Linked DNA regions of Schizosaccharomyces pombe. The protein of the gene in region 2 interacts with the protein of the main gene of each other region in a biochemical or structural test. Each region holds a gene or a part of one and is shown on either strand. Other genes may lie near its edges.

What was found.
Region 1: the proteins of hem1 (region 2) and shu1 form a complex in vitro, tested with the Schizosaccharomyces pombe proteins (one study listed by BioGRID).

What each region holds. Positions count from the first base shown.
Region 1 is NC_003424.3:78,707-94,978, reverse strand, and holds shu1 (protein Shu1), read left to right. Parts: upstream 1-8,700; coding exon 8,701-9,381; 3' UTR 9,382-9,413; downstream 9,414-16,272. Other genes in the region: hhy1 (hydrolase), read left to right, coding at 1,108-2,499; siderophore-Fe(3+) transporter Str3, read left to right, coding at 4,720-6,612; plasma membrane gluconate:proton symporter Ght3, read right to left, coding at 10,376-12,043. UniProt on the Schizosaccharomyces pombe protein: High affinity heme transporter involved in the assimilation of exogenous heme during conditions of low cellular iron.
Region 2 is NC_003424.3:3,924,456-3,941,475, reverse strand, and holds the start of hem1 (5-aminolevulinate synthase), read right to left. Parts: upstream 1,812-17,020; 5' UTR 1,214-1,811; coding exon 1-1,213. Other genes in the region: plasma membrane sucrose/maltose:proton symporter Sut1, read right to left, coding at 3,696-4,879, 4,946-5,423; SPOM_SPAC2F3.07C (uncharacterized protein), read left to right, coding at 5,643-5,948; karyopherin/importin beta family nuclear import signal receptor Kap104, read left to right, coding at 7,408-7,515, 7,638-10,262; SPOM_SPAC2F3.05C (xylose and arabinose reductase), read left to right, coding at 11,840-12,667; single-strand DNA-binding protein Rim1, read left to right, coding at 13,159-13,507, 13,592-13,695; DNA-directed RNA polymerase I complex subunit Rpa49, read left to right, coding at 14,216-15,493; sec67 (translocation subcomplex subunit Sec72), read right to left, coding at 16,145-16,723. UniProt on the Schizosaccharomyces pombe protein: Catalyzes the synthesis of 5-aminolevulinate (ALA) from succinyl-CoA and glycine, the first and rate-limiting step in heme biosynthesis.

The DNA.
Region 1 (16,272 bases), 3.9 Mb from region 2:
ATTTTTCTAGTATAACATAAAGTTTGTAAATACAGTCATGCCCTATAAGCTGATTTCGATAGAAAAACAATTCGGTTAAGGATGTTATATGGTTAGTTTGAATTAAATTTTTCTGAAATAATATCACAACGTTGTATATTGACTTCACCACATTACACTCAGCATTAGGTTTTACAATTGCATATCCTTAAAATTTTTCTAAATAACAAAATAGACTATAACGAGCTAGTTCAGTCGTCTATTCGATTTGAAAGCAAAAGTGGTGAGGTCAACTTTATAGTAAATTTCGGTGATTCGTTATTCAAACAGCTCTTCACCATAATATTATAAAATCTTTAAAACTTATGAGCAATAATAACAGAAGTTCAACAGAAAGTGATGGAAACATTTTAGAAAGGATCACTTGGTTAATAGCCGTATACGCTTAAAAATTTTATTACTATAAGGAGAGACGAAATGATATTAGATGTGTTTTTAAAAACGTTGGATTCGTAAGCGTGATACTGACAACTTTATTTAACGTTTGTGGTGATCAATCCTATATTAATATAAGTTGGGTAAAATAATCTCATTCGCTTAATGAAAAGCTTAAAGTCGTTTATTGCTTAACAATATAGAAACATTTAAAAAAAATTCAATTGTCACTAAGTTTTAGAATTATAAATTCGGCATTTTTTATTTGCACGAAGTACAAAGAAAACCGAAGTTCCCTAAAAAAGAAAGAATTTAATGTTACTATTATTCTAATAGAGCTGTGGTTTAAAATTCCCTCAAACTAAGCCAATAGTGATTACTGAATTTTTCCCACTATATTTATACAGTAGGTCAAAATTGGAGGAATAGTTGAACTATAATTATTTCGTTGGCGTTGTAAAAATCTTGAAGGCGAAAAATTTACTACTACGTATTAGCTTACCAAACCAATAAAGCTAAATCGATCCAGAATAAATAATTATTACTAACAGCCCAAACAGGTCGTTGATGGTTAAGTTGCGGGTGCCGCTTATCTATTTAAAGTTATCCGACATAGCGGATTATTACCGAATAGGATAATACATACTAATAATATATATATACCAGATAAATTTAATCAAAATTTACCGAAAAATGTTGTATACTCACGCTAATATTATTACGGTAAATCCAACACGTGATATACTAATTGATGGAGCAATACTAGTCAAGGATGGTTCTAATACCATCGATGATATAGGAAAAACGGATAGACTAGTTTCAATATATCCAAATGAAAAACATAAATCTTTAGAAGGCCATATAGTGATGCCTGGACTCATATCTCTCCATGTACATCTAGCACAGTCACTTTTGCGTTCTGCAGCCGACGATTTGCCTCTAATTTCTTGGTTATGTGACACTGTTTGGAAGATGCAGGGTAATTTCACCCAAGAAGATGGATACGTTGCTTCGCAATTAACCATTGCGGAAATGTTAAAATCTGGGACCACAACATTCGTTGAGGCACTATTTGCTCAACGGTATGGAATTGAGGGTGCGGTCAAAGCGGTAATAGAATCGGGAATAAGGGGTTGCATAGGAAAAGTGGTAATGGATCAACCAAGGTATGCTACTCAAACTGGAGTTAGCATGCATGAGGGTTTGATTGAAAATTCTAATTCGCTCAACCAAGCAGTTGAAAGCCATAGCAAATTCCATGGGAAAGGAAATGGCCGAGTCGAGATATGGTTCGGAGCACGAACACCTGGTGGTGTTTCTGAAGAGTTGTATCGTAAAATGGTTAAAATTGCCAGAGCAAATAATATTGGAATTACGATGCACTGTGCAGAAGTAAAAGCCGACAGAGAGTTTTTTGCTAGCAAGGAACATACTCCGATGACATACTGCAAAGATCTAGGTCTTTTAGGACCAAAGACTGTTTTAGCACATATGGTTCATCTCGATACTCAAGATTTAGAAATTTTGGAGAAACACGGAAATGGAACTTCTGTGGCTCATTGCCCGGTATCAAATTCCAAACTAGGTAGTGGAATCGCCCCACTAAAAGAAATGCTCGAGAAGTCAATAATAGTTGGGATTGGTTGTGATGGATGTCCTTGTAATAACACTATGGATCTATTGCAAGAAATGAAGATGGCGTCTTTGCTTCCAAAGGCTTTACATGGTGATCCGTCTATAGTTCCCGCTGAGAAAATCGTTGAAATGGCTACAATAAATGGTGCAAAGGCATTGGGAAGAGATGATTTGGGCTCTTTAGAGGTCGGCAAAAAAGCTGACTTCATTTCTTTAGATTTATCTAATAAGCTTTATGCGCAACCTCTTAGAGATCTTGTATCTGCTGTGGTTTATATTGCTACTGGAGCTGATGTTGCGACAGTAGTAATTGATGGAAAACTGATTGTGGAAGATCATGTTTTATTAACGATTGATGAACCAAAATTGATTGATAAGGCTAAAAAGCATGGAAAAAAGCTTCAAGAACGTGCCAAAGTGGATGTGAAAGGCCGCTGGAAAGAAATTTAAGCTTTGATCAACGGATGACAAACTGTAACTATATCCTTCATGTGTAAGCTTTTTACTCAATAAAAATTTTGATTGAAAACAAATGGAACGAACCAAATAATTGTGTAGTTAATTTTCTTTGTAGTTGATAAATAAGTGAATTCTCAAAGTTTTCGTTAAGCTCAAAAAGTTCATTATTTAGCGCAACAAATATCACGTTCAAGTCCTAAAACTTATGATTGTTTTTGCTGTTATCATTTAACTTAAATGAAAAGTAACATTACTGAAGAGTATAATATGATCCCGAGTCTGCTATTCATTATTAAACAGTAATCGTCGCGTCTACCTATTTAACATCCTTTTTTTTATTTTTTGAGCCTTTTAATTTAATTCTGGCGTGTTGAAACATGGTTTTCTTTGTTCTGGTTTCACTTCAACACTGTTAACCATTTCATGATTTTATGGTCACTATCAGATGAGATAATAGCGGTACTTTCAATGCCTTTAACAATATTATTTGGTCAAATAAGATGGTTTAATGGAAGACACTTGAGCAAGTTGACTGTTCCACTTCTGATATGACTTTATAGGGTTAAGATGGAATGGAAATTTTTTTGCACTCATTAGTCTGACTTATAATTTTTAATTTTCAAAAAAAAAAATCCGCGATTGCTAAAGATATTTACAGAATTACTGCGTGCTGACAAATTGCAGCCATTAAAATGTTATAGCGATAACAAGGATGTTCATTTTTGCATGCCAACCGAAAGGACGAATTTGTAACCGGAAAATGAAATACGGAAAATAAAAACTTTTTATTTAACCTCTATCATCAAAATTGTAAAAGGAAAGCCTCGCCTTTATATCCTTTTTGCGGTTGATAGAACTCCGATTTATCTGATCAAATGTCCATTAGTACGCCGGTTCCCAAAAAAAAAATAATAAAAATTTTACCTCCCATGAGAGAAGAGTCAAATTATACAAGCTTCCTTCATATGCAACTTTGAAAATCAGCTGCATGTCGTCTGGTCTTTTAAATTATAAAGCAAAAATTGATATAATACTACAACCTAGGTTGTGTTTGGTGCACGAAAATACAAAGCTCAAATAAAACGGTATGAAAGTTTCATGCTCCTAGTGTGAACAAATAAGGCTCAAATCAAATAAAATTTTGGTTAGTCGAGAATAAATTGCTCGAGAACAAGAAAGTTCAATGAAATTTTCTTAAGGTATATTAGTCAAAGTTGGCAAAGGTGCTTTTGATTATGAAATTTAATAAGAGTTCATAAGCCAGAATTCATAAAAACTAATAAAAAAAATTTGCAGACTCCATCCCAAAAAGACATAGGTTTTCCACAGCAATTAATATACGCTGAAGACTACTAAGGATTTTGAAACTAGAGAGATATGGGTTTTTGGTCATTAAATTTTCTTTTACTAGGATAAAACTGTTTACACTTAGAAAAGCATTTTAAAAAAATAAACACCAAGTTAATGAGAGGAAGGATTGAGACTTCACGGAATTACTACTCCTATATGTGAAGTATTTCGCAACACAACTATTTTTTCCGATTTCATGTGACGTTGGCAATCTGATAATTTAAGACAAAAGTCGACGAAAAGCAAAGATCATCTGATAGCGATATCTATTTTGAAGTGAACATACGATGTAATATGTGACATAAGTATAGTTAATTAGCTTAACAACAGTGCACTGTAGTTTCAAAATTTGCTTGCCAAGGCTTCATGTAACCACATGTTTCAATCCCTTCAGTTACTGATATTTAGCATAATTAATACTTGAGAATTGAGAAATTTTAAAGATGTATGAACAAATAAACTCAGTAAATAAGTAGGAAAACACGCATGTTAAGTTTATTCACTGCTTCAAAAGACTAAATTAAAATTAGCTAAAATCGCTCAAACTATACTCGACTTTATCGGATTAATAAATTAGCTAATCAGTAACCAGGGTTGTCTTGGCATCGGCATATCACTGTACAAAGAAGGAAATTGCGAATAACTACTAACTAAAGTGGAGATCTCATTTGTCAAAGTCTTCAATTCGAGCTTCTTAACCGCGGTGCCGTTTGGAGTTTTGTCAAAATAAGGCAAAAACTTTTCATAATCCGAACCATGATCTGATATGCGATTTAAGGTTAAGCGTCCATAAAAGCATATAAAAGAAGTTGTGCATCCAGCGAAGCAATTGCATATTATTTTGTTTACTATTGAATAATCATGGAAGCAAAAGAAACACATTCTATATCAGATCATGAAGTTGAATTGCAGGATGCAAAGCCGGAGGAGAAAAGCGAAAATGGAAATTTTGTCTTTGAAAAGGCTTTCTCTTCTGACGAGGAAAAAGGATCGGGCTACAATACCAATGAGACATATTCCAAAATGGATAACTCTTTACAGCACAGAGGAGTATCAAAAATTGAGGCTGTGAGAGATTCTATATATCAAAATAAAAGAGGAATGTACTTGGCGTACGCGTTTGGTATAGCAATTCTTGCTTGTTCTTGGGCAAGTGCCATTCAATCTTCAACAACATACAGCTATCAAGTGTATGCAACAGCCTCATTTAACAGGACTTCTATGATTTCAACTTTAGAGATTGCTACTGCGATTATTTCTTCTGTTTGTAAACCAATTCTAGGAAAATTTTCCGATATTACTTCACGACCTATGACTTACACTCTTGTATTACTGTTTTATGTCATTGGATTCATTGTTGTAGCCTCAAGTTCAACTATATCTGCTTATGTTATAGGTTCGGTTTTCATTTCAATCGGCAGCTCAGGGTTAGATTATTTAAATACCCTTGTCGTTGGCGACTTAACGTCCCTCAAATGGCGAGGATTTATGACAGCCTTGCTCAGTACTCCATACATAGCTACTGTTTGGTTCACGGGATTTATTGTTCAGGGTATTATAGATTCTAACTGGAGATGGGGTTATGGGATGTTTGCAATTATTATGCCAGCTGTTATGACTCCTGCGGTTATTATTTTGATGTATCTGGAACGACAAGCTAATAAAGATGAAAACATCAAGAAAATTATTAATTATCAAACTGAGGAAAAGAACAAAAATAAACAATCTAAATGGCAAAAACTCTGGAAAGCTGTCTTGGAAGTTGACCTTTTTGGATTAATATTATTAGGAGTTGGATGGTCAATTTTATTATTGCCATTTTCTTTGACTAGTTATGCTAAGAACGGATGGAAAAATCCAAGCATGATTGCAATGATGGTCGTTGGAGGGGTAATATTAATCGCATACTCTGGTTATGAAATGTTCATTGCTCCTTATCCATCATGTCCTCGCAGAGTCATGAACAGAACGTTTATTACAGCTGTTATTATTGATTTCTTTTATTATTTAGCGGGTTACTTACAATCGATGTACTTTACAACATATACTTGGATTTTATACGATTGGTCTTACAGAGATTGGACATACTTCAACAACACAATGACGATTGCACTTTGTGTTTTTGGAGTATTTGCAGGTGCCATGCACCGGGTTTTTCACAGGTACAAGTATTTGCAAATCATTGGTTTAGTAATCAAAATTGTGGGATACGGCATTTTGATACGACCAAATTTCGCGGCTACAGGAAAAGTAGATTTGGCTTGGTCATTGATTCTAATTGGTATGGGTGGTTCCTTCAGTGTGGTGGGGTCTCAGGTATCATGCCAAGCTTCTGTGCCTCATCAAGACTTAGCTATTGCTTCTTCTTTGTTACCACTTTATACCAATATTGGTGGAGCTATCGGAGCGGCAATCGCGTCTCCAATTTTCTCAAATAAAGTACCAAAGTATCTAAGAGAATACTTGCCATCTTCTATAAATGATACACAAGTTTATAACTTTTACAGCGACTCCTCTCTCATAAGAGAGTATCCCGTTGGCACAGAAATTCGTGATGGAGCCATTAAAGCATATTCCAGAAGCATGTTCTTTTTACTTGTTCCAGCAGTTTCTTTATCGTTTATACCTTTAGCTGCAGCATTTTGGCAAAGTAATTTTTACCTCGGCAATCAACAAAATGCTGTTGAAGGAGATCAAGATCATAAAAAAAAGGGGGACAAAGAAACCACACAAGAGGAAAAAATAATTATTTGATATTTTTAAAAGAAATTTTGTTTTAGTTTAGTTTATTTGGGTTTTTTTGCGTGGCCTTTCTATATAATCCGCACATTATTGTGTTGCTAGTTAATTATCATATTATTCTGAATTTCATTTTTTTGGGAATCCCTTGTGGTTAGTTGGGTAATATATTCATTTCAGCTTGCATATTATAAAATCTCGATATTTTTCTTAATACAAGTATAATATGTGTTATTTACCTCAAATATTTAGCCAAGGAAATAGTATATGCAGCTTCACAAACTTGTGTTCGTACATTAAATTCGAAACGTAAGTAGCCTTAGACACTATTTTGCAGAAAACTCAACAAATAACGTAAACACTGGGGGTTTTATTATCATGCTCTTTTTTTTTTAATGATAGAACGGAAAAATCAATTAATTCGTTTTTTTCATTCCGAGATAATTCAGATCTAAATTGATTTTATAGCAGGAAAACGTTTAGAGTAAAGTTATTTAGAGAAAAAATAGTTAATTGTTAAAAAAAAAAAATATGAAAGTGTGTACTGTTCGTCTTCAATATTTAAAATAAAAGCAACATAATTAGTACTAACGCGAACTGCCTTAAGTAACATAGTAATAAATCTGCCAACAAAAAAAATGTTAAGTAATGGATTGCTGAGTTAGTTTACAGTCACGTCAAAATTTAAAATATAAAAAATAAAATATTTAAAATAATATACATTCTAAGACTTGTACGCCGACTAGAACCAATATATGAAATTTATTCTTTTTCCTCCGATGTAGTGATATACAATACCCGGAAGTAATTGGCTGTGAAATCTGATAAACCTTATTGATTATCTGATGGAACATTACATGCCAATCTAGACGGTACGGAGAATTAGCGGGCAACGCACTACTTAATTATGGCATATCGTGCGCTATGGGATTTCAACTGCTACAAGTATTATTATTTTTTAGAATACTGAGCGTTCATGTTGCATTATTCAAGTACACAGAGCATGTAGAAAAGTCACCATCTGGTTCGGAAAAATTATGAGGAAGTTTTTAGAAACTAATTGAATCTAAAACCTATCTACTTCATTAATATTTGTTTACCCTTCTAGGAAGGTATATATATTTCAAGGAATGAAATGTAATCGAGGTAAATTAATGAAAATTCAATTAGTTTATCAAGTTCTAAAAACTGCACGCCTCGGTTGTAAGCACAGAACTCGAAATGCAGTGTGTTATTGATCGATAAGAGGATAATAATCAATTAGTGAATTGTGATGATTTATGATAGTCTTATGCAAACATAAATTTCTAAGAAAAATCGTTGATTAGAAAGGAAAATTAAATGAGCTAAAAAACAAGGAAAAAATCAGAGGGGTAAAGCAGTAGTTGTAGACCGTTCGTTATATCATCACCGAATGTTTCATTTTGCACCGTTTTTCACTCCCGCCTAGATTTTATGCACAATATCCATCTGATAAGTAAAATCGTAATTAGGTTTCGTCATCAATCTTAGTGGGAACATAAGAAGTTAACAAGGATGCGGCAGTTGTGCATAATGCACACATGGTTTATGGGAATTGGCTAAGTAACTAATTTTAATCGGCAAGAATCTTATCAGTGTTATAAATTTGGAAAGAATAGATTTACATGATTCTGATGTTTATTTTATTTCAAGTTTTAAATTTGAATGATTTTGCGCCTTTTGATGATAAATTTACAAATAGAATACTGCTATCTTAGAATTGCATTACTTTTAAGTTGCATCGCTACTTTTGAAAAATTCGCAATCAAGGTGTAATTTAAAATTGTTCCTCAGAAAGGCTAGGATTATGCGGTTCGTAGTACGGGATGATGCTGGTAGTTAAATGATTTTCGGTTGTCTCGAGCAATTAACTCGATATTTATATATTTTAATAACAATTAATCAATCTAGAATCAATTAGTGAGGGATAGTCTGATGCAGTTATCAAGATAATCAGATAATTTAGCTTAATTCATTGAATTTCCAGTACTATATAAGATGGCACAAAAACAAACTATCTTGGAAAAAATAAAATACGACCAGTTATTTTTTTAAAGCCTAATTGCTTAAAATTAAGTAGCTATGATTTCTTTAAAAATTTATTTTGTGCTGATTTTCTTGTTCTTAAAAGGCATTAACTCTGCATACGTCTCAAATGAGGAAGGAGAGACTGTCGATTTCACATTTTCTGGATTCTACGCGAATTTAACATATCCAAACGAAATTTCTGAATTAAACTACGTTGAAGGAAATTATTTGTCTACGAGAATTGTTCGTTTTAATGGAAGCTTTTATTGTGATACTACTATTTTAAGTGAAACCAACAACGTTACTGGGTCCTGCTACGTTGCGAATTGTGCAAACGATACAGTTTTGGAGATTTGTGACAGCGGAAAGGAAGTTCATTTCACAGACATGAGCGGAACAACTTGGTCAGCAGATACTTTTACTGAAAATTTATACTGGTTCTGTGGTGGTGATGGAAATAAGCCCAATATGACAACGGCGGCTGCAATGAATTCAGATATAGACTCCTACTATGTTTATGGAAATTGGACAATTGATACTGCTGATAGCACCGTAGCAGATTATACTTGCAATTATACACATTTCCAAGAGGCTGGAGATATCGAAAAGGGAGACGTCTATACAGCATCGGCTGATTCTTCTGATTCCTCTTCTGCTTCATCAACAATTTTTAAGCCTTCTTATTTCATTAGTTGTTTATTATCCGTAGGTCTTTACTTGGTTTTAAACTTTTGAAGACTTTGTTCTTTAACAATACCATTATTTACTAGGATAGTTATGGCCAAAGTTAAAAAATGAATAAAAAAAGCCAAAATGATTGAAGGCTTATGACTCTAATTCATTCCATTTTTTGAGTCCTGCTAATACTCTTATCACATGCTTTTATTCTATTTTATTGGCCAATTTATTTAATTAATTTACTTAGTATAAGTCATCAATTTTGTGATTTAAATTACATAAGTTAGACATCTGGAAAATAGAAAACTATTAATATTAAAGTATTATTAAGAGCTATTTTTAATTGCTATTATGATTCGAAAGCGTTTTCTTGTGATTGATTTAGTGGCATGTAACGGCCTAATAAATACTTTTATTCGAATTTTTACTAATAAATTTTTATCAAATGGTACTCTAAATAAGTTTAGTTTTGAGAAAAAAATTCACAAGTGATCGCCCTCCCTTGGGTAGTAAAAAAAAGAGGAGGAGCTCATTCCTTCTACCACTAAAAAGAAAGTATTGTTTTTAACTTTACATAAATCATTGGTAATCTTTTAAACTGCTTTACATCTTAATGGGGCAATGCGGTTTCTTTCTACTTAGAAGGACTTTCTGTAAGTTTTGAATTTCCAATGTATGCATTACTTCTTTGCGCCTTAAAAAATTTTTTTTAACAATATATTAACGACAACGTTATGTAGAGAAAAAATTATTATGAATAGGAAGGATTTTAAAAAAAATACTGGAAATTTGGTATCATTTCGCATCACAGGGATAAATACTAATTGCCATACTTCGAATAACAAACAAATACCTCAAAATTAGAAAATCATAGCAACAATATTTCATTAAACAATACAAAAACAGAAATTTCAAAGCTCTTATTCATTTTTTAAAATTTAGAATATTCGGCCTCATGATAATAAATCTAGAACTGCCTCGCTATCAATATAAAAACAAAATAAATGTAAAGAAATACAGGAACATTTAGAATTTTAATTTTAAAATTTGTTTAGATATACGTAGGGTGTGAATCCTCTGAAAAGCGATCGTTGGAAACAGCGGATCTCCGTGGCTTGACAGCAGACACGACAGATCCTGAAGAAGAACTACTATCGTTATTGTCTTCATCAGCATTTTCAATGAATTCTTCTTCTTGGCCGCGAATACCTTTCGATTTCTCTCTTTCACGCTTTTCTTCTTCTTTACTAAAGTGTATACGATGAGATTCAATTTCTCTTACATATTTGTAAGATTCCCATGGCTTAATGTTGGACATGTATAAGTCATTGACTTCCTCCAAAGTAAGACCTTTAGTTTCTTTAGCCAAAAAGAAAATCATAAATGAACTAAACAAATTAATGCAGGCGTAAATGTAACCAAGCTTGAATCCGATCGCATTGTTAATGAAAGGAGTAAAAAAAGAAATCATGAAATTACCCAGCCAGTTTCCCGATGTGGCTACAGAAGCGCATTTACTGCGATAACGAATGGGAAAAGTTTCACCCACAATTACCCAGCCCATTGGGCCCCAAGAACAGCAGTAAGAGAAAAGAAACAAACAAGAAAACACAATCATTACAGATCCTGCTCTGTGATCACTAGTACCATTCTTATATATGAGCTTTCGATCGCCTACAGCGGCATATATAAAGAAGCATATCGATTGGAAAGCAGCTCCAAAAATTAGTGGGTTACGACGTCCTAAGTTATCAATTGTGTATAAAGCACCAAACGTTGTACCAAAATTAATAGCACCTAAAATAACGGCTGGTAAGAATATATCCGTCATACCAGTTCCCTTGAAAACTTGTGTAGCATAATAGAAATAATAATTGTTACCAATCAACTCTCTGAACAACATGACAAGAAATCCTAAGCAGGTACGGTATCGAATATCCTTACCGAAAATTTCTATCCATCTTGCTTTACCTCCAGCCATTTCTATTTCAATATCACTCTTAATGGTATTAAAATTAGTTTGAATAATTTCACTTTCAGGACTTAGTTCCGCCATATTGCACATAATTCGAAGAGCTTCTTCATCTCGTCCTTTGTAAATAAGATAACGCGGTGATTCAGGCAAAAAGAGTACACCAACCATTAACAGGATTCCCCAAAGCATATTTATGCCAAAAGAAGTTCTCCATGATGCAGTCTTACGCAGTTTATGAGTTCCCATATTGATACAGGCTGCAACTAAAGCAGCACCTGTCGAGAAAATTTGATAGGTTGCAACAACTGCACCACGAATTTGTGGTGGTGCTACTTCAGATTGGTATCCAGGACTCAAGACTGACAAAGCTCCGATACCAACACCAGCAAGGATTTTACCAACCAATACTTGAATCCAAGAAGGGACTGCTGTGACTAAAAGAAGCTCTGCAATAATATATACCCCGCTGAAAAAGCAAATAGAGTATTTCTTACCAATTCTTTCGGTAAACGGCGAAGAAAGCATAGCACCAAATAAACAGCCAGCATTGATTGTACCAGTCAACAAAGCTTGTCTCCATGCTGAGTAACTGTAGGAATTTGAAATGGGATTGTAACGATCAGCAAAACGAGATTGAAAATCTCGCATGCCCAAGATGCCGCTAATGGAACCAGTATCGGCGCCTTGCAACCATCCGGACATTGAGATAAACACCACGAGAATTGATGTAATAAACCTATTCATATTTAACGAATTCAAAGATCAGGAGAATATTAGCAAAAAAGGATGAAAAAGAGTGTCCTCAAAATCAAAATAAGTAAAAGACGATACAAACAAGGAAATTTTAATGGAGAATTTAAAGAAAGAAAGAAAAAACTCCACGGATTTTTTAAAAAACGTAAAAACGAAACGAATGAATAAATACGAGAGAATTAAGTATAATGCAAATGAAAGCAACAAAGGGAAAATTAGGCAAATGTCAAGTAAAAGCAACCCTAAAAGTGGGCAAGAATTCGAAATCAGCCAAGGACTTTTTTAAATAGAATACGACACAAACGAAAATTTTGTAAAGCAGAAAAATGGGAGATTACAATAACAATAAGAAATGTGTTAAAAAGTTCGTTAAGAACTTTATTAAACTAAAAGACCGCAAGGGGTTTTTTCTTAACACACCAATAAATTGAATGAACGCAAGCACAGAGTAAACAGTTAATGGTTTAGATTGAGAGAATAAAGGAAGAGAAATTGTCCTTAATATACTATTCCATTTTGAAACATGTTTCTTGGATGGCTGACGTAGAATTGACTTGGAAGTATATGAAACCGTAAATTATTTACTTCTCCACATTTCATTCAACTTATAAACTTTGCCCCACCCAGTATCAGCTATTCGAAACTTTAAGAGGTAAATCCACTAAGCAACTCATTTTGCTAAAACGTTGAAAGACCCGTTTTTACTGTTGGTTAATATAAGGTTTAACGCAAAAAGGCTGGCAAGCGCACTTTCAAACGGTAAATGGGTTTAGAGTTCACATCTCTCAACTACCTCAAAGAGTTTCTCCGCACTTCTTTCAAAATGCTTTTCGGCCCCGAACCTGTAATCCGTTTAACATTGGCTGTCGAGAGCATGACAAGCATGATGACGAAAGGTACCCCTCAGCTGTTAAACTTTAAATGATGTAGTAAAAATAACTATGATTGGGCGTTTTTGATGTTAAAACTCGAGACTGAAGTTTAAAAGCTCTAGAAAACCATAAATTAAAGGCTCTAAATTTGCGATTCAAAAGGAGTGGAGAACAGAAAACTGGGTTAGCAAGGCCGACGGTGAATAAAGTTTTAAAAAGTTAATACTAAAAGTGGAGATGTAAATAAATGTGGAGAAAATCAGTAAACGAGTAAGGAAAAGCAAGAAATGAGTAACAAACTAAAATGGTAGTTCAATCGCTTAGAAGTTACCTTGCCAAACTTCCAATTTAGGGTGCATTATTTTGCTGCTGTTAAGCCTGTTTGCTACTTTCTGTTACACATTTTACCTATGGTCTTCACGTTAAAATTTTTGTCGTTTTCATTTATATGTTTAACCCATATGATATTGGCTTAGACAAATGATTTGTTCTTTAGTAAGTTTAATTACCACTTTTTATTTTGATATCGTTAATATTCGTAATCCGAAAGTGAACAAGTAAACCGTAATGCTTATTTATCACTTTCTATTCCACAAGATCGGTCTACAAAGGAATGATCTAATATTAGGTTACTGTATTTAAGTTGAATCGGCATTTTAGTTTTTAAAAGTAAATAAAGCGCAGAATGTATATCAACTCTTAAAGCATGCTTTAAAAAATATGCTTCGAGCTGACTAATCGTAACTGTTACTAAGCTTCTGACACTTTGATATTTTTAAAGAAAATGGAAGCAATTATTCAAACTTCCTATTAATATGTAAAGTCTCTTACTTTTTTTTTCATTGTTTAAGTTAAATCAAATTAGAACTAAAGTTGACTCAAAGCTTTTTTTCTTCTGAAAAATAACAAGAAAATTCCAATCACGAACCTATTTATCCCGTAGCTTAAAAATATCTTAAAGAAGGGATGCTGTTTGGAAGCCACTCATTGGAACCGTTTGCTATTCATACTTGCATTTGCTTCGTGATAAAGCGCTACCTTCTGCGAGTATAGTGAAATAGTGGTGAATGTATTACCTTACTCTTATTTTTGTTTACAAACTATTATTTTAATAGAAAACATAAAAAGAGCTATTGAAGGGATACTCAGATTTTCACGAAAACGAATAAAAAATACGATTTCCAATTAACGCGAAAGAAAAAGGCTTTGAAAAGAAATATTTATTTTGGTTAAAGGTGCAAATTTAGAAGTATATTTTTTTTCAAGTTGGATCATTCATGAACTTCCGCAACTCGTAACTTGTTAACAACAATTCCTTTTTTTGGAAAAAACAGGCAAGGAACGCTCGATTGAAGCTAATAGCCAAACGACATTCAAGCTGATTGTCTGGTTTAAAGTCTGCAAAGTCTATATTAATACAGATATTCAAATATCCAAGCATTTAATTTATTGAGAATTTTTGATTAGTACATGATTTAATAGTTATTACACATGAATCGCACTCCTTAACATTTTAACTGTACACAAGATTAAACATATTGTTAGTTTTCCTGCTACCGCATTTATTTATTTTCTTCACATTTTACTGCGAATAGTGTATAAGTTAAATCTAACTCGTCGTGTGTTCCGAGGGAAACAAATGGCTTTTGGATGCTTACTTTCTTTTCTATTTTACGATGTTAGTTTACAGAATTACGTTAACTCAATCTTCTCCTCTACGTTGTTGCTGAAAAATCCTTTGCATGTAACTTATTTTAGAAATCATAACAGAAATATTACCGTCTCTTTTTCAGCAAACTTATCAATATTACTCCCAAAAAGCAAATGTCTCTATCGTACTGACATTAAGTACTCTGCTTTGTTGAGCGGTTTAGGTTGATGGCATGATAATAATAGAGAAATGTAACTGAGTCACAATTTTTCGTATATAATATTTCTAGAGTAGTAATTTATAAAAAAACATAAAGTAGCAAATAAAGCTTATAGCTATCATAATTCAACAAAATATGCTTGAGTAGTAATTTATGATTCTTCAAGATCTTTTCATTATAGTCAAATAAGTCTCACAATTTTTATAGGGCTATTTTAACGCAATAAATAGTTAACTTAAAATTTTTTTAGCATTTACTTCCAAAGCTCTTGTTCTTTCTTTCTTTTGTATCACTTAACCGTAACTTTTTTGTCGCTTTGGTAAACGTTAGAATACTAGTAAAGATCTGCCAACTAATCCGTATAGTTAACTAACCGACTGTTTACACGGATAATTAAAGATGTGGATTAAAAAGGTTATAAATAAACCTACAAATGATCCTCGTTTCTTAAGTTAGCTTATAACCTATATGAGTGACGGTTCACTTTTAGACTTCTTATAACTATAATTATAAAATTGCTACTCATATATATATATATGTATTTGTAGATCACACGTAAACAAATGAATGTCTCCTTCAAGAGATTAATACTTTCAGCGCTTGGCGAGTAGCTAGTACATCTCAGAGATAAAATTCACCACCTGTTTGATATGAAGAGAATAATCATTCATTTAAATAAATCAAATACTACGTATAGTGAGCATATTGTAGTATCGAAACTAAGATATGAAAAGCAGTGTGAAAACAACATATGAATAAATAAGGATAATGTAACAAAAGAAAATGAATTTAAGCACGTAAAAGGATTAAAGCCACTGACAGAAAATGAACTGGAAAAAAAATTATAAAGTTAGACTTATATAAAGAGAAAATGTAATAAATTGAAGGTGGCGATAATGATATGTACGTTAAAAAAATATCTAAAAAAGTTGTAAATGGAACCAATACTCCGACCTATGGAACATTCAATGTCACTAGTAAGTTGTTTAGAAAAATATTAATAAAATAAAGTGTAAATATATTTTATATAATACATAGTAGTAAATTCAATTTGAAAATAAACACGTGTAATAACATTAATAAAAAAATATACATTCTCAAAATAAGGTGACCTAAAACAAAAATTAATTAAATTGGAATGAGCGCACATATAAAAAGGTAGAGCTTGCAATGACAAAAAAATTTTTTCTGATTTGGTTTTAACATGAATAATATTTTTTTTTGCACGTATAATGGAAATAGTTGTAATGCAGCGCGTTTATAATATGTATTGATAATAATATAGGGAAACAGTATTGAAAGTTAATTAAAAATGATAATAATAATAATAATGGTTTCTAATGATGACTGTAGCAAATTACATGGAAAAAATAAAGAAACTCGTTTGCAACAATTCATCGTATTTGTATATAACAATTTCTAGGACATATCAAAGACTATTGATGAAGCTGGATGATGAAAAAAAAAGGAGTGGCTG
Region 2 (17,020 bases):
AGATGAACCCGGGGGCAAGTGAACGAATCATGTCGACTAACGTGCTAGAAGCTGCAATGTAACCACCAACACAACCATAGGATTTAGCCAAGGTACCCGTTATAATGTCGACTCGACTTAACAAACCAGGAGTTTCTTCAGCAACACCAGCTCCACGAGGTCCGTACATACCAACAGCATGTACTTCATCCAAAAATGTGATAGCACCATATTTCTTAGCCAAATCACAGATTTCGGAAATAGGTGCAACGTTTCCACTCATACTATAAACTGACTCAAAAGCAATGATCTTTGGGCGATTTAAGGGAAGGGAAGCAAGTTTGGCTTCTAAATCAACAAGATCATTATGCTTGAATATGATTTTTTCGCAACGAGAATTACGAATACCATTAATCATTGAAGCATGGTTCATTTCATCACTCAAAAATATGCAGTTAGGCAATTTCCTGCCAAGTGTAGATAAAGTGGCATCATTGGCCACATAGCAACTTCCAAAAACGAGAGCAGCTGGTTTTTGATGTAAATCAGCCAAGGACTTTTCAAGGCGTACTGCATGCTGATTATGTCCAGCAATGTTTCTAGTACCACCGGCACCACCACCATAGGTTTCAATACACTGGTGCATAGCCTCCCGAATTTTCTTATGACCACCCATGTTTAAGTAGTCATTACTACACCAGACTTCAACGCGCGTATTCGGATCAGCCAAATGAGCAAGAGGATACTCTTTGGCGAGGCGGTTAATATTATTGAAGTAACGATAAGATTTGTCTCGATGTTTCTTATCAAGTTCTTCACGATAAAAAGTGTCATAGTCGAATCTAGGAGTGGTGGCAGGTCCAACACCGTTCAAATCCGAAGCATAGTGCTTTGGCATTTGGTGCTTTTTAGTAACAGGAGTAGTGGTAGCAGCCTCAGCAGCAGCCTTGACAGCATCAGCATGGCGACATGTACGAGAACCAGTATTGACGACGCCAGCCTTTAGATGAATCTCATCCAAAGAAGGCTCCATAGCCATTTGCTTGGAGTCGGATTTAAACCCACGAGACACGTCAGCACCAGTAGCAGCAGCCACAGGAAGTGCATGTCTAACAACTGGACAACGGGCTCCTGCGCGAATAAGACCAGCACCAGCCATACGACGCAAAGCACTAGGATCGGCTTTACTAACGAAGGGGCAGTGCTTTGCAGCTAATTTCACAACGCGTTCCATTATTTAAATAAGAAAAATAAAGAAAGAGAGTGACAATGAAAAACCCAAAACCAGCAAAAAATCGATCCAATCTTATAGAAAAAATGCGACCGAGAGAAGAGGATATAGAGTCAACGCTTTGACTAATATATATTTTTTATTTCTTAAAACCCTTTCAATGGATCAACCAACTTTCAAAGTGTCTATCCAATCCTTCTTACAGAGCAAGAAAAAGGTTGAGCAAATTAGAAAAAAAAACAATCCAACCAAGACCTAGCGGGCAAATAACGATGCTATCGACTGTGGTATTAGAAGGTACGAATTTGCAACACCCCGGTATAGTTATTTAGGGAAAAATATTACGGTATCCAAATCGATCTCTGGATAACGATGGGAAACGTAGAAAGAAAGCAACAGGTCAACCTTTAGTTACTTATTTAAAGAAATAGGTAAGATAAAAAATTTACCTTACTATAAATAAGACAGAAGATGTAACGATGAGAAATATTATCGGAAAACCAGTCAATAAACTTAAATGTTTTCAACTGGACGATATTACAAGCACAATTCGTTTCGGAGGTTAGCTTTCGTTAAGTTTATGCCTAAAGAATTGCTGTTCAGTTAGGAAATTCAAAAAAGAAAGGAGGAATTGCGGATTTTATTGCAACAGCGGATTTCGTCAAGATTGTCCTAGATAGCAACTATTACAAATCGCTGTGCGGGCCTAAAAAGGAACTAGGTTAGTAATGAATCCTGAAACGGACGCCTCGCTATTTTTAAGCACCAACAAGACTCACGAACAAGAAAAAAAAATCCCCGACGGCAATTTCCCGAAGGAAGTAAATGTCAACGCCCAATAATGGCGCATCTAATTACATGCATCCCCAAACGAATGGAAACAAGATGGCCGCTAGTAAAAATGAAATCAACTTGGAGCAGCTTTTCCATTCAGAGATGCATGCGCAAATGGCGAGGAGGATAAGGATGACTGTGCGGGTGCACGATGCATGCCTTATGGATTTTCTTTATCGTAGTCTTACCTTCGCTTAAGCGGTTTCAGCGCAATTTTGTCCTTATAAACACAACTGCTAGAGACACTGCCTGTCTCGTTCCTTACCAAAAATTAAAAGAAGAAAGTGAATCAACGAACTTTTTTTTTTTATTCCCAAGAAAAAAAACACTTTTATTATATTATTCCTTCGTATAACAGGAAAAAATACGCGTTCAATTGTGGCTGTCGCAATTTTGTCCAAACCAAGCTGGGGATGGTAAAAGGTAAAAGGAGTTTGTGCATTAGAGGAAGCAGTAGTGAAAAATGTTACCACAATTCATGCACCTACAAAAACTGTCATCGCTTTTCTAAAATCGCTTCATTCTTTACAATAGTAATTTAATATACTTCTGTTTTGTAGCGCAGTATGGAAATCATTTTTTTTCTGAAATCCTCGGGCTTTTCCTAAGTGAAATTGTAACTTAATTACACCCGGTTTTGTTCACCAGCGGGGCGGTCGGCTCCCTAAACTCGTAAACCCCCATTGTTCCTTGTCAGGATTTGCTCGCAGACAATCCGACCGCCAGTGCGGAAGAAAAATTTCCACTACCGCTTAGCGGGAAGATTGCGACAACGCCTTGTCGAGTTGGGTCGTTTGGCTTAGACAAGGAGGACACGGAGTCTTAGCTACCTAACACACTAAGCTGACTTGGCAGGCTATACAAAGTAGGCAGGTAGTTTAGATGCTAATTGCATGTTCATAATGGTATGACCGATTAGATGAAAGAGCACATGGAGAATTACATAACATGTTATTTATTACAGCGGAAGCTTTCAAAAGTTCTTATGCTTACAAACATATTATTATACTGAATTATCATTCTATATGACTGAAAATTCTTTTTATAATTTGGCTCTTTTAGCTTAATTTGAGGCTCTTTCTCCGTTTTAACTCTTTCTTTTTGTAATGAAAACAAGCTTGGCAATGCATTGTTTTTCCCTTTACTGTGATCAACATGGTGTTGTTGCCCTTTTTCTTACGCAAAGCTCGCTTCTTCTTACTGTATACTAATTTAAACTCGGATCAATCGAGAAAGTTCAAACATCTGCTAGTATTACTACTGCCACCATGGTTTTTTTTGTGTCCATTAATAGAGAGATAGTCCAATCAAGTTGATTTTCATTTTTATTACTTTTTATATCCTTTATACACTATAAGTATATCTTTTATATTGGTTCATGCTATACTCTACACAAGTATGAATCTTGTATCAAATGCAAAGAAAAACTTTCCTTTTCCATCTTGACAGTGTATTGTTTGCCCAATCAAACAAATCCTTTTGATAATGCCATTACTCTTCGTTGCCTCTCCATTCTTTTATTCAAATTACACTTTTAGAAAAAACAGCAATTGCTTTCACTCATATTTCGTCAATCGTAAATTATTCATAATATTCATGTTCACATATCATCGAATTGCATATTTTTGCGACATTCATCATCTGAATTCTTTCAAAAGTTGATGGGCAAAAGATGCCGGCATTGGTACGCGGCTAGAAATGCAGATATACCTCCAATTCTCAACACCCATGCTATACTATTGTCGGCGATGTCTCGATGACTGCCCTCCGATTGAATAAATACAATGGTGGCAATGATGGTGCTCAACACTTGGGGGGCAGATATAAATACATTGTGAACACCAATCATTTTGCCACTGCTTTCTCGTAATCCAAGCTTCCCTATTTCTGAAGAAAATAGCGAATATGGAATCCATAGAGTACATGCCCAGGACAGTCCACAGATAGCTACCATTGCCTGCGCTTGCCATGATGTTTGCAAGAATATCGTGCTCAACATACAAACACCAAAAAGGACATGGGAGCTCAACCACAGAATAGGAAGAGTAAGTCCTTTGATTTGTACCTTGGAGGATATCGTTGTCATAATTGATCTACTAGACGGTAAAAGCCTGCGTCGTGAGGGCTCATTTTCCGAACGGAAAGAAGTTGTTTCGCTCAAATTACCAAGACGGGGTGTATTAGTACCAGTTCTTATATTTCCGAGATCGTTTCTTTCTTGAATGTTGTATTCATTATTAGATGCATCACTCGATTCGTCCTCCTCATCATCCTCCGTGTCCTCGAGCAACAATGGAAGTGCTGTATTTGCGGCAAGAGAAATGATAGCAAAAAGCAGTAATGCGAACGACCCTTGACGAGTCGCCATGTCCCAATCTTCTTCATGGCCTTTAGGAGCATGGCGTAAATATAAAATACCCACATAGGTAGTAATATAAAACAAAAATGGAAACCATCCAAAGTATGCAAAAAATTGAACAAAACAAATTCTTTTTAATGTAAATGGAAGTGCGGTAATACTTTGTCGCATAGTTGTAAAAAATTCAAAGATTTCTCCAGCAACCGATTTCTCGTGTTCAACTGGTGGGAATCTCCTTTCACTCACAAATATTGTTGTGATGGTAACTGTGAGTACCAAGGAAATGGAGGCAAGTACGCAAAACACCTGTAACTGTGTGAAATTGAGAAAGGAGAAGATGCGATATAGAGGTAAATAGCCTAGTAAGTACCCAAGCACATTGCCTACACCTATCATTCTTCCAGCCCAGGAATTTGCTTCATGCTGTTGATCTGAACGGACTGAATCAACAATTAAAGATCGAGTGCTAGCCATTACTAGTTATAAAGTTAGTCATTTGTATGAACTACTACTCTGAAAACTAAATCCCTAAATTCACATACCGACATTGACGGCCACGTCAAGCAAATAAATGCTAATCGTAGCCAAAACGATAGTAACACGTTTCATTAGAACCTCATTGCTAAATATAAAGAGGCAAATATCAGGGGCCCAGCCCATAAGGAATAAGCTGAATGTTCCTAACAAACTAGCACAGAGCATGAACGGTCTCCGCCGACCTATTCTTGAATTAACCCGGTCGGACAATATACCAGCAATTGGCTGAATTAATATTCCAGTCAAAGGACCGGCAATCCATATAATTGAAGTCCATTCTTTACGAAGACCAAGTGAGAATAAATACGGTGTACCATAACCAAGTTCAACCGACCAAGTCAATTGAACTCCCAAAAGTGAAACTGTAAGAGCTATTAAGTAGAGGGAAGAGCGAGAAGGGATAGACTCTTTAAAAGGTGATGATGCCTCATTTTCGGAGGATAGAAGTTGTCCATTCTCCAATTGATTTTCATCTACAGACATATTTTAATGAAACTAAGCTTTAAAAGCAAAAGAGAAATGAGAGGAACGTTTGGTGGAACTTCTTTGGTAAGAGATATCTGTTCCTACAACAAAGTTCAGGGGGATTCAATTATGATTGAGAGAAATGATTTTTTAATTTTTCAAAATAATTGATCGCTGTCTAACTTGCAATGAATGTATCTGATCCTTGATAGCATACAACAGGCCACAATGTTTTAAATGTTAGTCAGAGAGAATAATTCAAATGATAGAAGTATAATCGAATATGTGATAAAAATCCTTCTAATTTCGGGGATTTCAAGAATTATTATATTGATTTTAGCAATGTTTGAAAGTATTAGACATATAATTTTTCACAACGATACCAATCCCAGTGATGCTCGAAAGTTTCAAATGGCAATTTGTAGATTAAGTTCGCAGAAAAGCAGAAAACTAAAGAATCCGATTGAAAGTTCAACGACGAGTCACAAAAAGAAAGGATACGTAAGAAAATGTTATGAATGTCTGCAGATACAGGTTAGTTGAACAAAAGCGATTAAAATGAACATAGAACAAAGCATCGTGTACTTACTTTGAAATCGTCAATAAGCAAAAAGCTTCAATTTAAAGCAATAAGCAAGGAATAAGAAATAATAATAAATAATTAAATAATTCCTTACTAATAAAGTACCTTTTAAAAGTATGAATTCTTATGAATCCTTTCAAATTACTACACCTTTTAATATGCTTGGTTTAGAGGAGCGACTCCATCAGCCCAGCTCCGCGTAAATGTCATGTTGACGTTACACTGTGATTCTGCACTATAGGACATTACACCGCGGCACACTGCATTCCTGTATAAGTCAAATGCTTTTTATCTTTTTGAAATATCGTATAAATAGATGCCGTTAAGTCCTAATGATGATTAGTATATTTGAATCTTAATTTAATCATTAAAACTATATAGAATATTATCAAATTTAAACTGCACTCATCAATTTACTAGTAGCTATCGCACTTCCAATATTATTATAAGAATATGTATACATATCAATAAACATCTCCAGGGGCGCATTCTGAATACAGCAATATTCCGGTAAAATGGAGAACTTTTACGGTATTTTATTGCATCCTTGAAAACTAAAGAGCAGTTCGTAGCGAAACGATATATATTTAGCGAAACACAATGTTGCAATCAGTATACTCGTAAGCTATATTAACGTGATTAAGTATATACATAAATATTGTAAAAAAATAAGGAGAACGCAGCCATTCCTTATAACGATGAATAATTCTTCTTATGGTTAATGTACAGAGTTAGACATATTTATGATTGACCTAGATAATTGTCTATGCTACTCAATAGCTTTCTTTGCACGTGTTTATTGGGCCTGAACATAAATTGGAGAAGTTAAAATATTGCCACGTTCGAGCAATAGTAATTTAAACTCAATGGTGTTATCCGCGCATGGCTTGTCGCTCAAATACTTCTCTTGAATAACATGGAGCTTAAATATAATTCTTTTTTAGTATTCAAAACAATATCAATCCGCCCCTAAATTCCTAAATAACATTGCATGGTTTTCCATAGACAGTGCTATTCTCTTCGTCAGCAGGTAACATGCAACCCAATGGACTTTTCGTAAATTTTTTGAAGAAAAATCAACAAATTTAAAGTGATATAGGGGAGCTACGTGCTAAAATTCTTTTTTTTTTATTCTGTAAATTAATTTATTTAATACATGAGATCATTATACTGTGCTGTGAGTGTTGAGATGCGTCTACGGGAAATTTGCAATATGAACTTTTTACTTGGTAGAAAAATCCTGTCAATACATGTTTAAATGTGAAAACAAATACTGGAATCCATTTATTTTTTAACGAATCATAGCATACCACTCTGGTAAATGTAAATCTTGGAATTGCTTGGAATGGTACTACCTGCCTTCCCCACACTCATCAGAGAACTACTACCAACAACTTCTTACAGTAAGTACAGAGTAAGATGGGGGACAATCCTTGGGTTCTCCAGGAACAAGTCCTCGTAGAACTTTCAGAAGTGATAAAGAATTCACTCTCCGAAAACTCTCAGACTAGGAATGCTGCTTTAAATGTAAGATTTTTTTTTTCTAAAATTAAAAGTTTCTTTCTCGTTGTAGAAGATGCTTCTTTTTACTTCACGTGTGTAACGACGTGTGAAGAAGAAATCAAATGGCATAACTAACTTTATTATAGTTGCTTGAGAAAGCAAAGGATATACCAGATCTAAATAATTACCTTACTTGCATTCTCATCAACGCTACGGAGCTTAGTGTTTCAATTAGATCTGCTGCTGGTCTTTTGTTGAAGAACAATGTTCGTGTTTCAAGCTTAGAGTCTGGTTCAGGTTTGCAGAGCCTCGATTACACAAAGTCAACAGTTATTCGCGGTTTGTGTGACCCTGAACAACTCATTCGAGGCATATCTGGTAATGTGATCACTACAATCATTAGTCGTTGGGGAATTAGTACTTGGCCTGAAGTATTGCCACAATTAATGGAAATGCTTTCTAGCCCTGCTTCTACCACTCAAGAAGGAGCATTCAGCGCCTTAACTAAAATATGTGAGGATTCGGCTCAAGAGTTAGATCGTGATTTCAATGGTACTCGTCCCTTGGATTTTATGATACCCCGGTTTATTGAACTTGCTCGACACGAGAACCCAAAAATTCGTACGGACGCCCTTTTCTGTCTGAACCAGTTTGTTCTAATTCAAAGTCAATCTCTCTATGCCCATATTGATACATTCCTTGAAACATGCTACGCCTTAGCAACAGACGTTTCTCCAAATGTGCGTAAAAATGTCTGTCAAGCTCTTGTTTACCTGCTCGATGTCCGTCCTGATAAAATTGCACCCTCCTTGGGAAGCATTGTCGAATACATGTTGTACTCTACTCAAGATTCTGATCAGAATGTCGCATTAGAAGCTTGTGAGTTTTGGCTTGCAATTGCTGAACAACCCGATCTTTGCTCTGCTTTAGGTCCTTATTTGGATAAAATAGTCCCCATGCTTCTCCAAGGGATGGTTTATTCAGACATGGACTTGCTGTTACTTGGTAATGATGCTGACGACTATGATGTTGAAGATAGAGAAGAGGATATTCGTCCTCAGCATGCAAAGGGTAAATCGAGGATTACCTTGAATACCCAGGGACCAATTACTCAACAAGGTTCTTCCAACGCCGATGCTGATGAATTGGAAGATGAAGACGAGGATGATGATGAATTTGACGAGGATGATGACGCTTTCATGGATTGGAATTTGCGAAAGTGCTCGGCTGCTGCACTGGATGTTTTATCATCGTTTTGGAAGCAAAGGTTACTTGAAATCATTCTTCCTCATCTGAAGCAAAGTCTTACGAGTGAAGATTGGAAAGTTCAAGAAGCCGGTGTTTTGGCCGTTGGTGCCATTGCAGAAGGTTGTATGGATGGAATGGTTCAATATTTACCAGAATTATACCCTTACTTTCTTTCGCTTTTAGATAGTAAAAAGCCACTGGTCCGTACGATTACATGTTGGACCCTTGGTCGATACTCCAAGTGGGCTTCGTGTTTGGAGTCCGAGGAGGATCGTCAAAAGTACTTTGTCCCACTTTTGCAAGGATTGCTTCGCATGGTGGTTGATAATAACAAAAAAGTGCAAGAGGCTGGTTGCTCGGCTTTTGCAATTCTGGAAGAGCAAGCTGGCCCTTCGTTAGTTCCTTATCTAGAACCGATCCTTACCAACCTTGCTTTTGCATTCCAAAAGTACCAACGCAAGAATGTGCTCATTCTGTACGACGCAGTTCAGACCCTCGCTGATTATGTAGGATCTGCTTTGAATGATAAACGGTATATCGAACTATTGATTACCCCATTACTTCAAAAATGGTCCATGATTCCTGATGATGATCCTAATCTTTTCCCTCTATTTGAGTGTCTTTCATCTGTTGCAGTGGCTTTGCGTGACGGATTTGCGCCATTTGCAGCTGAAACGTATGCACGCACGTTCCGAATTCTTCGCAACACCTTATACCTAATCACTACTGCACAAAATGATCCTACAGTTGACGTTCCAGATAGGGATTTCCTTGTTACTACATTGGATTTGGTTAGTGGAATTATACAAGCTTTGGGTAGTCAAGTTAGTCCTTTGCTTGCGCAAGCTGACCCACCACTCGGTCAAATCATTGGCATTTGTGCCAAGGATGAGGTGCCGGAAGTTCGTCAATCTGCTTATGCTTTGTTGGGAGATATGTGTATGTACTGCTTTGACCAAATACGCCCGTATTGTGATGCTTTATTGGTGGATATGCTTCCCCAAATGCAACTTCCTTTGTTACATGTGAGTGCATCGAACAACGCTATTTGGTCAGCTGGCGAAATGGCTTTGCAATTAGGAAAAGACATGCAACAATGGGTAAAGCCGTTATTGGAGAGATTGATCTGTATCCTCAAATCTAAAAAATCGAACACTACAGTACTTGAGAATGTTGCGATCACGATAGGCAGATTGGGTGTTTATAACCCGGAGCTCGTTGCCCCTCACCTAGAGTTGTTTTATCAACCTTGGTTTGAAATCATCAAAACGGTGGGTGAGAATGAAGAGAAAGATTCCGCGTTTAGGGGATTCTGCAACATATTGGCGTGCAATCCACAAGCACTTTCATACTTGTTGCCAATGTTTGTCCTTTGTGTGGCCGAATATGAAAATCCTTCAGCCGAACTTCGTGATATGTTTCAAAAGATTTTACAAGGATCTGTGGAGTTGTTTAATGGTAAGGCATCCTGGCAAGCGAGTCCTGAAGTGCTCGCACAGATTCAGGCACAGTATGGTGTCTAAAAATTTCACATTTGAAAAGCTCAATAAGCACCTTTTCTTTGTTGCTTTTTTATGAAGGAAAGAGAAAACAAAATTTAAAAACAAAAAGTATGAAACAAGTTGTATGTATTATATTAGGATATTCAGGTGAATGTGGAAAACAGGAAGAAGAAATGCAAGGAAGACTAGATATTAATAATTTGCATATTGCACATTTGAGGTTACAAGAATGACGGAAAACAAAATTGGAAAAATAACCAAACCCAGAAGGGTTGGTACTTTTGGGTTTGGTTTTATTTAATAGTTCCGCCCAAGTATCGACGTTTGTATGTATGTTTCATGTATGTTTGCGGTTCAATGACTTTTGTAAGAAAACACAAAAAATATTCAAGAAGAACAGCATTTATCAAAGAATCATCATCTGAATCCTTTTATTTCTCGGCCATCTGTGCAGTGGGAAGGTTTTAACTTGCATTTCCCCTTTCGCCTAAGGATATTGAGGAAAGCAAAAACACCCGATGATTATCTTTCAATTGAGGCTGCACATTCAAACAAAAAAGGTTGATTTCCTGCATAATGGGTTCTGTTGCATGTACAATCGTTTTTCATCACTTACTTCCTGATGCGAAAATTCTTTTACTTAATATTATTTATTGAATTGAATTCACGTTCATGCAGTCTACGTAAAAAAATCAAACAACGAAAACTAATCATTGTAGTTTAAAACTTTTCCCTATGTTTCACATATGGAATGGAGCGGCAATAGTCTGGTAGAGCAGTCCATTTCAAAGTAGCGCATTCCATACTATTTTAATCATACATTTACGTCGGTTTAAAAGACACGAATAATGTTTAAAGGTAAGATAAATAAAATGTATAATAAAACTTGAGAGCGTTTTCTCTTGTTGATTATAAGTCTACCACACCTTGATGTCAATTAAGCTAATACTCAGCAAGTACAAACGCATTGTTCATTAAATGCATTTTTATCAATAATTACTATTGGAGTTCAGTCTTTTGCTCTCGCATAAAAATCCGCTTAAAAACTATAAAACCCGCTCAATCACAAATTTCTCAAAAAACCGCTATATTCGCGATTCAGCATTTGTCACAAGCTTCGATTGATCTCATACATAGCATTTTATTCATTTCATTCTCGAACGAACATTGCTGAATTCCATCGATCGATTAGTACGAATTCGAAGCTTAACGAACTTTTGTGACGAAAAGCTGGGTTAACATCATTCTTTACATGTCGCTGTACGTAAGGTAAAAACGTGATGGTGCTTCGGGATGTTGCTTATCATTACCACTCATTAATGTTATATCAGAAGTTTTTCATGGTATAAATAGTACTGTGTTGTTCGCATGTCGGGTTAGCAATACCATTTTAGTGAAAAGAATTTATAACGTTCTTTTCTTTGGTAGTTGAAAATATTGAATATTTCAAAAATACTCAATAGCATTGAAAAACAGCTTGGTTATATTCAATTTTGCTGAATCTCGTTGATTGCTTAATTGAATAATTATCAATTTCCTCGTTCATTAATTTTTGACTTTTTTCTTTTAATTTAATTTTATTTTTTTGTTCATACATTATGTTGGGATCATTTGTTAAGTTAAACAATGGACTTAAGTGCCCTCAATTTGCTTACGGTTCTTACATGGTGAATCGTACAAAATGCTTCGATTCGGTGTATGCTGCCCTTCAATGCGGATATCGACACATCGATTCGGCTCAGATGTATCACAACGAGGCTGACTGTGGAAGAGCCATCCTTAAGTTCATGGAAGAGACTGGTACGAAACGAGAGGATATTTGGTTCACTAGCAAGCTTAATGATTTAAGTGGGTACAAATCTACTTTGAGCAGTATTGATGCCAGTGTTAAGGCATGTGGCCTTGGCTATATTGATCTGTTTCTTCTTCACTCTCCCTATGGTGATCGTATTGAATCATGGAAGGCGTTGGAGAAAGGTGTTGAAGAGGGAAAACTTCGTGCTATCGGCGTTTCCAACTTTGGTCCTCATCACATCCAGGAATTGTTGGACAGCCATCCAAAGATTATACCATGTGTCAATCAAATCGAACTTCACCCTTTTTGCTCCCAACAAAAAGTCGTCGATTACTGTGAATCCAAGGGTATCCAACTTGCTGCCTACGCTCCTCTTGTTCATGGTGAAAAGTTTGGCAACAAGCAACTTCTCGCCATTGCTAGCAAGTATAACAAGTCTGAGGCTCAAATCATGATTAGATACTGTCTACAGCGTGGATTCATTGTACTTCCCAAGAGTTCTACTCCCAGGAGGATCAAAGAGAATGGCGACGTTTTCGATTTCGAAATATCTAAAGAGGATATGGAGAAGCTCTACAACTTGGATGAGGATTATCATTCGGATTGGAACCCATGCGTTTCCCCTTTATAATATGTTAAATGATCGTCTTGTAAGAGCAGAGAATGCATTTTATTATTTATTTCCTCTGCTATCCCTAGATATGCTAGTATGATAGAATTTACGAAACTCAATTTATGTCAGCTTATATACCAAACATGCATCCAATGACTGTTAGTATGAATTAGTATGAATCCGATATTACTTTTATCATATACGATCATAGATTAGAAAATTCGTATTACTTCCATTGATTTGTAAATGCTAGCATAATGTATCGTAAACTTATTAGAAACCTAAAGTACCTCATGGAAATGGCTCATTTTGGGTAGAAATATATTCAGACTCTTTACTATGTAGCTAATTAAAAGCAAATTCTACCCTAACTTTGGTTTTATCAATTCACACACTTCTCCAAGTACTTTTCGCTTCGTATATGCGACGTATGCGCACTTCACTCATCCACAACACCACACAATAAGACTCCATTAATTGCTTTCCTGTGAGCTCAAGGTACTAAAAACATGCTATTCTTAAAATCCAGCAGAGCATTTTCCAAACGACTGTTTTCTTCATCGACTGTTCGTTATAGAGATATTCAACGTTTGACATTGACTGGCAATTTAACAAAAGACGTTGAGCGTTTGCAGTCTCAAAAAGGAAACGAATATATGCGTTATACTGTAGCTTCCAATAATGGAAAAGACGTAGCCCCTACCTTTCACTCGGTTTATGTTTTCGATAGTTACAATTTCGACAGACTTCAAACTATTTTAAGGAAGGGAACGCGTGTTTATGTGGAGGCCGATGCTGTTTGGCGTTCCGTCCCAGCTGGAAATGAAGGATCTCAAGCGAAAATGAGCCTGCGACATGGTACGCAACATTGCAATGGTCCAAGTTGAAGCCTGAAGCAAAATTTGAAAACAGAATATAGTATTTACTAACCTCTCTTATTAGTATCTGCAGACGTTTTATTTTATCCTCGTAACAAAAATGGCGATGAATCCGGAGAAGAGACTCATCCTGAATTAGACGCAGATCCTATGATTAACAGCTTCTAAAATTCGTGTTTCTAGTTTAAAAATTTTCTGCACTTTAGACCGTTAATATATTTGGGTGGTATTTTTCTAGGGATTATTGAGTTTAAAAAGTCTCCTAATTCATTTTCTCTGCATTATGCACATACTTGGTATTGCTATGTATTTTTCATTTGATGTTTATTTCATTATTCCGCTGGAAATAATCTACCCATGGCTCTTCTGATTTGTTTTTATAGACAATAATGTCTCTGCTGTAATGTTTTCATTGCGTTCTAGGAATTACTTAGTCACCTTTACTCCTTCTTTTTCAAAGTGACAAATTTGTTAGTCCTTTACAGTAAATTAATAATCATTTTTTTTTATTTTAAAGTGTACTCTACGATTTGTAATATTCAGTTTCTTTAATTCTTTTCATTTAATGACTGATCCTCAAACTTCGTTAAGTTAGATTTCGCAGCCTCTGTGACTGTACACTACACTTCGTCAAACAAGCAAAGCTCTTTAAGCGCTAGCATTTTTACCAACAGCATCCACTATTGGAATGGCAGGTGACGAGTTAAAGGGCAAGAAGCGGAAATATAGAGATTCCCATTCCGGTGATGAAAAATCCGTTAAGATATTGCCTTTGAGTGAATCGAGTTTACCACCACTTGTCACGACAATTTCCGGATTTTATCCACCCGAAAATACCCGGTTCCAGCTTCTCAAAAAGAGCAATCAGAGCAACAGAGATGCGTCGTTAATTGGAAGGACAGAGCGTGTTCAATTTGAGGCTAAAAATCAATCAACGGCTACGGTTGAGGCAAATTACTGTTTAGCTGTTGCTGATAAAACTGGTCGTGTAAAAAAGATTGTTCCAGCAAAGTATCTTAATACTTTTGAAAGAAATATTTTGGCACTTCAGGAGAAGGACAAATTTTTGAAAAAGAAGCATGGAACTGTAAGCGGTACTGTTATGGAACAGCGTGCCAACTTGGGTTTGGCATTTGGTACAAGAAAAAGTCAAAAAGCTATTATGGAAGAGTCCGCCAATCGTGTCAAAGCTGAAACTTTGGGAGATGTCAAGGATCAATTGGTTAGTAATGTTCAAAAAGCTACTGAAGCACTTCCAACGCAAGAAGATATCGCTGCTGCTCAAGCGCAAGATCGCCCTATTCCTCCTGTCAATGTCGGTGCTGAATCCATTGAAGATGCATACAAATTGGAGGACATTATTCCCAAAGAAGAGTTTTCAGCTATTTACATTAAGCCTCTGTTAGAAAACCCTGACGAGCGCAATTGGGCCAAATTATTGCCGTACCGTCACTCCTTGTTTATTAATGAACGCTTCCAGCGATTACTTTCCATTGAGGAGGTTGACCAGAAGCGGGCGAGAATTTTGTATTACATTTCTCTTTTGCAAGCTTTTTTGTTTTCTCGTCGTTCTGTGGGCAACCGTGAAACTTTACGTAAAAAATTGGCTGATCCACCAGAGATTCTTATTGATGGGTTGATTAAACGTTTTACTCAAACCACCGGTATTGGTAGCGTCCAAGTATCATCTCGAGAAGTTGATAAAATCATATGTTATATTCTGGTATTGTGCTTAATCGTTGATAATTACTCAACTGATGTTCTTACCTTGGCAAATGACTTGAATGTCAAGACCATGAAGGCTAATGAGCTTTTTAGAACGGTGGGTTGTCGAATTATGGCTTACACCGAAACTCAAAGAATGGCTTTAGGTCTTAACAAAACTGATGCTAAAAATCATAAGCGTGCAGTATTAAAAATTCCCCTAGAGTTCCCTAAACCTCGACGTGGACGCGCTAGAAATTAGAGAAAAGTACAGCGTTGTTTATTTTCAAAAAAATGTGTGTGTGTTTTTTTAAAAAAAAAGAAGGACGGTATATATAGAAGAAACAACTACTGAAGTTCGTGATGTTCGATATCTCCACTGCTTATAATTGTTTTGGACGTCAAAGCGACATTGAGATATCCAAATAAAGTACCAACAAATTTTCAGAAACTTCTTATGGGAATACGGGATTAAAGGTGTTTTTTTATTATAGTGGAAGTACAGAAAATAATAAAATTTTGCATTGTATAATACTTTTGCTATAAGGCAAAGAAGGGTGACTTAGATGGTAACTAACTTTCAAGCAAAAAAGTTACCGTTTTACTCAATAAATCCTTTGGAAAGTTATAACATTGTTGTTTGACTATAGGGTAACAAATGACAATCGAAACTTAGATTCATGTTCAAAACCACCGTATTTATGATGTGCTAGGGGATGGTCTTTTGTATACAGTAATTGCTACAATCACCTGAGCATTAAATGAATTGGCAATAATATCAAGTTAGTATTAATTTTGAAATGGATTAATTATGTGGCCGTAAGTGTTTATGGTAATATGAAACAACACAAAGAAAGGAAATAAAAGGAGCGTGCAAATCCAATGATCATTTGAAACCATGATACAGTTGGTTTTAATCTTTTTCAGTATAACTTGCCCATAAAGCCACCAACTCGTTTCTCGTAACTGGCTCTGCCAAAATTAAACCGTCTCGTACAACCTGTTTAGCCTCTTCTATGCGATGCATTGCCTCCAAAGCCTTTGCTTTCCTATAATAACACTTTCCATAATTATTTCGAATTTTCAAAGCAGCATTTGCATCTGCTAAAGCTTCGGGGAATTGGGAAAGGGCAATCTCAGCAGCCGCCCGATTACACAACATAACACTTGCTTCTTCACGCGTAAGAATCGACGGTTCCCAAGTACAGCGATTCAAAGCGAGTTGTAATGCTAATCCATATAACTTTTTTGCCTCCTCATACTTTTTGCGTTTAAATGCCTCGTTTGCAGTTTGCTTCATCTTATTAACTTGGGTAGACAAGGCCATATTTGGCTTAGCAGGAGGATAGGGAGGTGGAATAAAAAAAGGATATTTAAACGTAGCTAATGACTTGGCGTATTCATTAACCTTTTTGCCCAACTCCAATTCCTTCCCACTCCATTTTGACACATCAACTTGAGGTGCAACCACCGATTCTTGTTTAGCAACCATCGAAGCAAAGTTTTAAAAGAAGAAGTAGTGAAGCTGCTCTTAATGTAAAGCACAAAGCTCGGATGGATTATTATGTACAAATAATTTAGAGAAGACAAGCAATGTTCAATGCAAGTAGTAAACTTGAAAGTGTTAGCAGAACGTGTCACAATACTTTAACACACATAAATACTAACTACGCAGTTTGTTATTTAATTTTAACGATGTGTAGAACTGCAATGAGCTTTATGATCTATTATATTGCAATATTGCAAAAAGCAGGTAATACAAGTAGCAACCGAGGACATATATAATATT